2 linked regions of the Callithrix jacchus genome follow. The protein of the gene in region 1 interacts with the protein of each later gene in a biochemical or structural test. Links are inferred from orthologs where the notes say so. Each region holds a gene or a part of one and is shown in the gene's direction. Other genes may lie near its edges.

Evidence for each region.
Region 2: the proteins of CRY2 (region 1) and FBXL3 form a complex in vitro, tested with the Homo sapiens proteins (2 studies listed by BioGRID, with this or other methods). The link is inferred for Callithrix jacchus from reciprocal best matches to the Homo sapiens genes CRY2 and FBXL3.

Annotation. Positions count from the first base shown.
Region 1 is NC_133511.1:110,877,081-110,882,261, forward strand, and holds part of CRY2 (cryptochrome-2), read left to right. Parts: intron 1-3,343; coding exon 3,344-3,452; intron 3,453-5,181. UniProt on the Homo sapiens protein: Transcriptional repressor which forms a core component of the circadian clock.
Region 2 is NC_133502.1:38,296,361-38,300,766, forward strand, and holds part of FBXL3 (F-box/LRR-repeat protein 3), read left to right. Parts: intron 1-3,298; coding exon 3,299-3,942; 3' UTR 3,943-4,406. UniProt on the Homo sapiens protein: Substrate-recognition component of the SCF(FBXL3) E3 ubiquitin ligase complex involved in circadian rhythm function. Plays a key role in the maintenance of both the speed and the robustness of the circadian clock oscillation.

The DNA of each region.
Region 1 (5,181 bases):
TTGTCAGACCGCACTCAGAGGAGGAAAAATCTGGCAGCAGAGGTGTTGTTAGCCTTTGAGTTGGCCGGTGGTGCTCCCTGATGGCTGAGCCAACGGCAGCACAGCCTCGGTGCTCTGTTGAGAGGCAGTGGCTGGCTGAAAACGAACATGTTAAGCCTGACAGATTGCCTGGGTTTGAATTCTGGCCACTTATTAGGTGTATGATGTTGGGCAAGTTCCTAATCTCTGTATGCCTCAGTTCCTTCATCTGCAAAATGGAAATGATAATAGTACCTACTGGATTGGGCTGTTTGAGAATAAATGAGATAATGTATGTGAAACAAGTAGAATGGTGCCTGTCATTGTAAATGTTTATTAAATGTTAGTCGTTCCCATTGTTATCATTATTTTTATTTAGTTGCTGGGTTCAGCAACTAAATAAAAGGCAGGCCTTCTATCTGCCTCTCATTTCTGCTTCCTGCTATAAACATCCCTTGTGAAAGAAGAAAAGGGCTCTCATAGGATTAGCTGTGCTTTAGAGATGCTGCAAGGAATCTCTCTTTTAGTAAATGAGATCTAAAAATAAAGTTCTATAGAAGGCAGATTGCTACATGTTCTGGAACCCAGATTTCATGTGCATTTCAACCTTATTTATAGCTTCAAATCAAAGTCCTATGCAGCCTGGTGGACTGTAAGGGAAAAGGCCCCCAAAGTGCATGGCAAGGATGCAGAGCTGCTGATGGAGGACCCTGTGTCCTGGAATTTAAAAATCTCTAGGCATTCTACCTGGCAGGGTCCAGGTTTCAGGTGGCCAGAGAACATTTACATGGATTTCTCTTCTTTTCCTTCTAGAAGAATGGTGAGGCTTGGGGGAGGCCAACACAAGTGATGTACTTGCAGTTTCCTGTTCCTTTTTTTCAATTTTTCAAAACCAGAAATTCACAGAGGTGGAGATTTTGGTTTGCATAAAGCGGCATTCAGCCTATTAGTCTTCCATCCCAACCCCTCCGAGAGTCTTCTGCATGCTCTTTTGCAAACATGATGCTTTGAGCTGAGCCCAGGGCTCACCCATGCTAGAATGTGGGTCTGTGGCATTGGCTGTGGGAGTGTGTCAAGTTGTGTACGTCAGAGGCAGCAGTGGGGGCTGGTTCTAGTTGGCAGCCTGGGAACAGTCACTGCCTCTGTAAGCCTCCAGTAGTCAGGGAATGTGACTGTGACGTGCTGCAGAGGAGGTACAGGGCTTCATTGTGCTCAAGATAAAATCTGGCCATTCCAATTGTTGACTGAGAATAAGAATGCTGGGGATGGGGAGAGACCCAGGGGGTAGATAGCAGGTGCCTCAGAGGAGTCTGAAATATGCAGCTGACCTGTGGGTTCCTGAGGAAGAACATAAGAATGTCAGTGGATTACCTGTAGTCAGATTGCTGTTGGAGAAAGGGATTCCAAACTCCTGAGGGACTGCAGAATCTCAGCCCCTGGAGCAGAGTTGGCATGCAACTAGAAATCTTTAGAAATCAGGCACAGAGCCCGGCATGGTGGCTCACCCCTGTAATCCCAGCACTTTGGAAGTCTGAGTTGGGTGGATCATTTGAGGTCAGGAGTTCGAGACCAGCCCAGCCAACAAACCCTGTCTCTACCAAAATTTTTTTTTTTTTTTTTTTTTTGAGACGGAGTTTTGCTCTTGTTACCCAGGCTGGAGTGCAATGGCGCAATCTCGGCTCACCGCAACCTCTGCCTCCTGGGTTCAGGCAATTCTCCTGCCTCAGCCTCCTGAGTAGCTGGGATTACAGGCACGCACCACCATGCCCAGCTAATTTTTGTATTTATAGTAGAGACGGGGTTTCAGCATGTTGACCAGGATGGTCTCGATCTCTTGACCTCGTGATCCACCCGCCTCGGCCTCTCAAAGTGCTGGGATTACAGGCGTGAGCCACCACGCCCAGCCCAAAAATATTTTTTTAAAAATTGATTGGGTGTGGTGCACATACCTGTAACCCCAGCTACTCGGGAGGTTGAGGCAGGAGAATCGCTTGAACCTGGGATGTGGAGGTTGCAGTGAGCCGAGATCACACCACTACACTCCAGCCTGGGTGACAGAAAGAGACTCCAACTCAAAAAAAAGGGCACAGAGAGGAAAATGGGGGTTTCAGAGTGACCACCCCAGGTTCCTGAATTCCAGCTTTGTCACTTAACAGCTATGGTCTTAGGCAAATTAATTCCCCTCTCAGTGTCTCAGTTTCCTCATCTACAAAATAAGGCTGGTATTATTTCCCTTTAAAACAGTTGAGAGAATGCACTTAAAAAGCATGACAAAACCGAAATCCCATTAATAACCTTGTTTGCCTCTGGGGAAGGAGGAAGGGGAAGACCTTTTTATTGTGTACTGCTTTGTCACTGGAATTTTGAGCCACATGAATAGTTTATCTGGTTATAATGTTAATTTAAGTATAAAACAGTGAAGGCACTCAGCAAATGTTCATTTTCTTTCCCCTTCCCCTGGCGATCCAGGTCTCCTGCTGAAGTTCTTGCCTATCTGTAGTCTTCCCCACTCCCACCCCCACAAAATCATGAGGATATCTATTGAGAAGTACCTTCTAAGACCTTCTCCCTCTTCAGATGAGAACCTGATTACCAGAGCCTGGAGAGGCCTGGAGAGTGAGCCACCTGCCAAATAAAGCTATGGGGACTGGGGAAGCATTGCAGGCTGTGAGGCTGTGGCAGCAGAAATATGCATAGCCTGGAGCATGCGTGCAGAAAGGCAAGGAGTCTTTTCTACCAGAATAAGTAGGATTTTCCTGGCTATGGCAGTCTGATCCTCTGCTAAGAGGACCTAGTGCTTCCATACCACAGCATTGCACTGGCTTTTCAGACCGTTCCCAAGTGAGTCTCACAACAACCTTGTGCGGGGCAGATACTTAATCCAGCCGCAGAGACTACGAGGGAGTAAGTGACTTGCCTTAGATCACATAGAAACACCACACTCGGAACAGCTCACATTTATCTCATGATGTCTGTGTGCCAGGCACAGTGCTAAATTTTTTTCACACATTATTCTATTTTTTCTTAGCAATTTTATGAGATGGATACTAACATTATCTTCACATTGCCAATGAGAAAACAGGCAAAGAGGTTAGGTTATCGCCTAAAGTCACACAGCTTTAGCCACAAAGTAAGTGGCAAGGCCAGGATTTGAAGCAGAACAGCGCTGATCCACTCCTGGGCTGGAACCCAGGCCTCTCCAGCCCTAGTGACCATGAGGCTACCCATTGGGCATAAACAGTGAACCAGTTTCTCCCTGCTTTGTTAGGAAAGAGAGCCCCTCTTTGTGATGTTCTCACTAACAAGGCCTCTGTGGACTCTGCAGGTTCCTACTTCAGTCTCTGGAAGATTTGGACACAAGTTTAAGGAAACTGAACTCCCGCCTGTTTGTAGTCCGGGGACAGCCAGCCGACGTGTTCCCAAGGCTGTTCAAGGTAAGCGTGTAGAGCCCCCAGAGAAGACAGTGAGATTCTGTCTCTGAGGGTTCCCCACAGCCTGAATGAGATGATATTCCGACTGAGGGAATGGAAACATCAGGACTGGTCTGGCTCTTGCTTCTAGAGAAGTTGGGAGCAAAGGCAGCCAGTTAGCTTGCTCTTGGAATGGAAATTGTGTTAAGGAAAATAATTCTGTGAAACCAGTGTCTTGCTGGAAAGCTCCCAATTCAGTCCAGACATAGGATGTGGTAAGTCATTCCACCCTGGATGCCATTGACTTCCTTCGATGTTTTCTTGGCTGAAGCCAGCAAGATTTATTAGGGTTCCTTCTAGGCCAAGACTGAGAGTGGGGTTTCATGTCTAGCAAGGTGCATTTCCCATCTTGCTTTGCTCAGCTTATTGGGAAAAGTCGGCCTTTCTGAGGAAGCTTCCTTGTTTCCCATGGGGTAAATGGTTGATAGAAATCTTCATTTTGGTGCCACATAGGGTGGCAGTATCAGGGGGCCAGTCCACTTTTCCCTCAGTTCCTTTAAAAAGCATATTCTAAGGCCCACAAAGAAGCACAAAAACTCATGGACAGAGGGCTCTGGGACAGTCTGCCTTCCTCCTCAGCAGCACACCATGATTTTCATGCCCCTCTCCACCCTAACTTTGAGACAAAAGTCATGTCAGGGCAGACGGCTTAGTAAATACATCATCCTTCAGTTCCCCTCCCCACACCCCTACACATAATTGCGCATACATGCAAAAATCACACTGTGCTGGTAATTGCCCCCATTCATTAAGGGCTGCATGGGAGTCAAGCCTGTTCCCAGTGCTTGTTTACATCAACTCACTTATTCCTCACAGCAGGCCTGAGAGGTAGCTACTGCCATTCCCATTTACAGGTGAGGAAACAATGATTGGTTGTGAAGTTAATAAACGGTGGATTCTCTGACCCGAGAGCTGTGTCCTTACCCACCATACCATATAAATACATTTGCCTCCCTTCTCCCCAACATTGCCCTTTCTCTTCCCCCAGCAACTCCGAGGCCAACCCAGTTATAGCCCAGAGATCTAGCTAGGTCATCCATTCAGTCATTTCATGTATTTTGATTGAGATTTTGCTAGGTACTAGGCTTTATACTAGGTATAAGGGTAATGATGATGAGTGAGACAGCTTGGTTTCTGCTCTTGAGAGTTCAACCTAATGGGGGAAACAGGCAAGTGACAGGCAGCTTCATTGTCATGTAATACATCCTGCAGTGGAAAAAAGACAAGGTACAGAAGAATTATATTCAAGGAGGAGGTCAAGAAGGCTTGTTGGAGAAAATGTCATTTAATAATATTGTTATTATTGTTCACGGGTTACAATGGGTATTCACTGATGTAATCTATATGAACTACTAAGCATGGTATCATATAAGGCTTATCATATAGATGAGTCCTGGCTTATAGCAAGGGCTCAATAAATGTTTAGTGCTATTTATCCCTGAATGAGGGATAACTGCTCCTGCTAAGGACCCACCCCCAGGCGAGACTGGGTCAGGACCAGCCCTGCCAGGGCATAACATGGACATTTGCCCCAGTAGTTCGGAACTTTCAGAGACCCTGCCCAGAGGCTTTGGTTAGAATGCGTTTTTCTTCTTGCAAGTTGCATGCTCTAGGGCTTTCTATGGGTTGTCTGTACAACCATTCACTGGGCCAGCTTGCTATGAGATCTAGAAATTCCTACCAGAAAGAATTT
Region 2 (4,406 bases), on another chromosome or scaffold:
GACAGAGTCCAAATGTTTTTGTGCTTCTTGTCATGTTGCTTTTTTCCCAAATGAGTTGATCTGAGAAAATTAATCAATGATTAGTGCCACCACTAATCATCAGTTTAGTAGCAGCTTTACTGTCATATAATTCACAATTCTCATTTAAAATGTATAACTTACTTTTAGTGTATTGATAAAGTAGTGCACACATCACCACAATTTTAGAACACTTTTATTATCCTAAAAAGAAATCACATACCTCTTAGCTGTTGCCCCCAAAACCTCCATCCCAACCATCCCTAGGCAACCACTAATCTATTTTGTGTCTCTATAGATTTGCCTATTCTGGACATTTCATATAAATGGAAATCTACCTTTTGACTATTATGAAAAACGTTGCTGTACACATTTATGTACAAGTTTTGTGTGGACATATGGTTTAATTTCTCTTAGGTATATACCTAGTGATCATATAGTAACTGCCTGTTTGAGGAAATGCCAGGCTGTTTTCCAAAGCTGCAGTGTACCACTTTACATATCCACTAGCAGTGTCTTCTAACACTTACTTGTCTTTTTGATTGTAGCCATCCTAGGGGGTGTAAACTCATTGCAGTTTTGAGTTATTTTATTTTATTTTTGAGACGGAGTTTCACTTTGGTGGGTTACCCAGGCTGGAGTGCAATGGCGCGATCTTGGCTCACCGCAACCTCTGCCTCCTGGGTTCAGGCAATTCTCCTGCCTCAGCCTCCTGAGTAGCTGGGATTACAGGCATGTGCCACCATGCCCAGCTAATTTTTTGTATTTTTAGTAGAGACGGGGTTTCACCATGTTGACCAGGATGGTCTTGATCTCTTGACCTCGTGATCCACCCGCCTCGGCCTCCCAAAGTGCTGGGATTACAGGCTTGAGCCACCCTGCCCAGCTGAGTTATATTTTGTTGATGACTAAAGGTGTTGAATATCTTTTTTTTGCTGAGACAGGGTCTCACTCTGTCACCCAGGCTGGAGTGCAGTGGCACAATCTTGGCCCACTGCAACCTCCACCTCCCAGGAGGAGGTTCAGGGGCTTGTCCTGCCTCAGTCTCCTAAGTAGCTGGAATCACAAGCACCTGCCACCACACCTGGCTAATTTTTGTATTTTTAATAGAGATGAGGTTTCACCACATTGGCCAGGCTGGTCTTGAACTCCTTACATCAGGTGATCCAACCGCCTAGGCTTCCCAAAGTGCCAGAGTTACAAGTGTGAGCCACCACGCCCAGCCCCTTTGCCTTTTTTCCAGTTGGGGTTTTTCTCTTAATTTATTGAGTTGTAATAATGCTCTGGTTTTATTTTACCTTTGTCACTGTATTATGTTTTTAAACACTTGGAACTGTATATTAGTTTTCTTTTTGCTGCATAACTGATAGCTATACACAAAGCAGCTTAAACATTTTATTCACTCCACTCTTCTGTACATTATAGCTGTAGGTAGGGCTCAAGTGGCTTCTCTGCTTACAGTCTTAAAAGGCTGAGAGGAATGTGTCAGGAAGGTGGGCTCTTCTTATCTGGAGGTTCTGGAGAAGAACCACTTCCACATTCATTCAAGTTACTGGCTGAATTCAGTTCCCTGTAATTGTAGGACTGACATCCAGTTTCCTTATTGGCTGTCAGCAAGAGGTTGTTTGGGGGTCTCTCTGCTCTTAGAGGCTGCTTCTGTTTTTCTTTTTTGGCTCTGTCTAGCTTAGAGCCAGCAATAACATGTTGAGTCCCCTTTGCATTTTGAATCTCTGACTTCCTCTTCTCCAGTCAACCAGATAAAACTGCTTAAAAAGGGGCTTATGTGATTAGACTAGGACCACCCAGATAATCTTTCATTTATGGTCAACTGTGCTGTATATCACAGTCATGGGCATGATATCTTATGGAATTCACAGATGCTAGGCATTAGGGTATGGAATCTTGAAGGCCATTTTGCGAATTACACCTGCCACAACTGCTTTTGTAGTTATTAAATGATACTCCAAAGTTTCTTTTATTTGCATTGTTGGTTACCATTTCCCATGTGTTTGTTCTTCTTTTATATTTAAGCTTTTTGAGATTGCAAAGAACAGAGGTATGCTTAGGTTACCTTGAGTAATCAAGGGGTATTTCAAAGTATACAAGATAGCCAGGCATGGCGGTGTGTGCCTGTAATCCCAGCTACTCGGGAGGCTGAGGCAGGAGAATCACTTAAACCTGGGAGGTGGCTGTTGCAGTGAGCCAAGATCGCACCATTGTATTTTTGTATTTTATCCTGGGCGGCAGAGTGAGACTCCATCTCCAAACAAAAACAAAGTATATACCTACCTTGTGGAAAACAGAAACTTTGTGATTGCTGAATACTGAGACATTACTCCCTCTTTTGGTGACTCATTCCGGTGATTCAGTGATTCTCTTGTAACTCTATTGCCTATCTTTTCCCACTGTTATAAAGCTCTGGCTTATATGTGGGCCTCTGTCTTGTCACTTCTTAAGCAGTACTTAAGTGCATGGACATAAGAATCACTTAGCCTGTGTTTGTATTGCAGCTTTGCTATTTTTAGCTAGCTGTCTCCACTTCAAGTTAGAAAAATAATACTTTTTCAGATTTTTTAAATTATTTGTGGGATAACCTCTAGTACCTGGCATATTATGCTTGCAACAATAAATAGTAGATGAAAATATGATGTATGCTTTTTTGTTCCTATTCCTGTTTCTAAACATAAGAAAGAAATTGATTAAGTGGGTTACTTTTACCAGATAATATAAGGTGCCTCTTTGGGGCAGAATTATATTGGCCGGGCATGGTGGCTCAGTATGTAATCCCAGCACTTTGGGAGGCCAAGGCAGAGTCAACAGAATTGAGTAATTATTTTTGACATGTTTATTTAGTGTTATCTTGGTATTTTTTCTTAGAAATTTAATATTAGGGTTTGAACTTCAAAAAATGTCCTTTGGCCTCCATTGCAGTGATCATGTAATTATTTAACCTATAAGTTTAGTGTTAGTAATAATTTTTTAAAAATCTGGCACTGTGCATTACTGAAATGCACTAACCTTAGTGATGGTATATTTTTTAAGTGACAGAGTTCATTATTGTCTGAGTCGATAAGTTTTATTTTTTTTTAATAGATGATGGGATTTAGAAAATGTGTGTGACTTCCTAATTCAACTATACAAATAAATTTTAAATTATATAGTTTTGTGGCAAGGGAACTGTGACAAACTTTGTGGAACATGTACTTGATCCAATTTTTGAACAGATAAACTTTTACAAAAACTTGCAAATAATTAGTTTTTTTCCTTTCTTTCTTTCAAGGTATCCTTTGTGTGGCTGATCAGTGCCATGGCTTAAGGGAACTAGCCCTGAACTACCACTTACTAAGTGATGAGTTGTTACTTGCTTTGTCTTCTGAAAAACATGTTCGATTAGAACATTTGCGTATTGATGTAGTCAGTGAGAATCCTGGACAGACACATTTCCATACTATTCAGAAGAGCAGCTGGGATGCTTTCATCAGACATTCACCCAAAGTGAACTTGGTGATGTATTTTTTTTTATATGAAGAAGAATTTGACCCATTCTTTCGCTATGAAATACCTGCCACCCATTTGTACTTTGGGAGATCAGTAAGTAAAGATGTGCTTGGCCGTGTGGGAATGACATGCCCTAGACTAGTTGAACTAGTAGTGTGTGCAAATGGATTACGGCCACTTGATGAAGAGTTAATTCGCATTGCAGAACGTTGCAAAAATTTGTCAGCTATTGGACTAGGGGAATGTGAAGTCTCATGTAGTGCCTTTGTTGAGTTTGTGAAGATGTGTGGTGGCCGCCTATCTCAATTATCTATTATGGAAGAAGTATTAATTCCTGACCAAAAGTATAGTTTGGAGCAGATTCACTGGGAAGTGTCCAAGCATCTTGGTAGGGTGTGGTTTCCTGACATGATGCCCACTTGGTAAAGACTGCATGATGTAGGGCATGATGAATAGCACCTTAATTTCAAGCAAATGTATTATAATAAAAGTTTTATTTGCTGTAGTTCTGATATAATTCTATTTTGTGGCACAGAAATTTGATATCTTCAGTCAGTATATATAAAGATTGTTTATTGGAAGACCCTTGAATGAATTTTGGTCAGAAAACTTTGTTTCCTTAGCCTAATAGCAATCATATCTACGAATATTTTTTTAAAATGTGGTTCAGATGTGAAAGTAATAACCAGTTATACATATTAAACAGTTTACAGTCTAAAGGAAACAAAACCTATGTAATATCCAAGAAGTACTAATAGGTTTTCTGAAATGTTATGTTTTCTATGCATTTTTTAAAAAATGTAAACTTGATACTTTAGGGTCTTCAGTTATACATACACCTGTTATAAGGTGTTTAATATAGCTCAGGAAAGTGAGCATTTTGTGAGAAA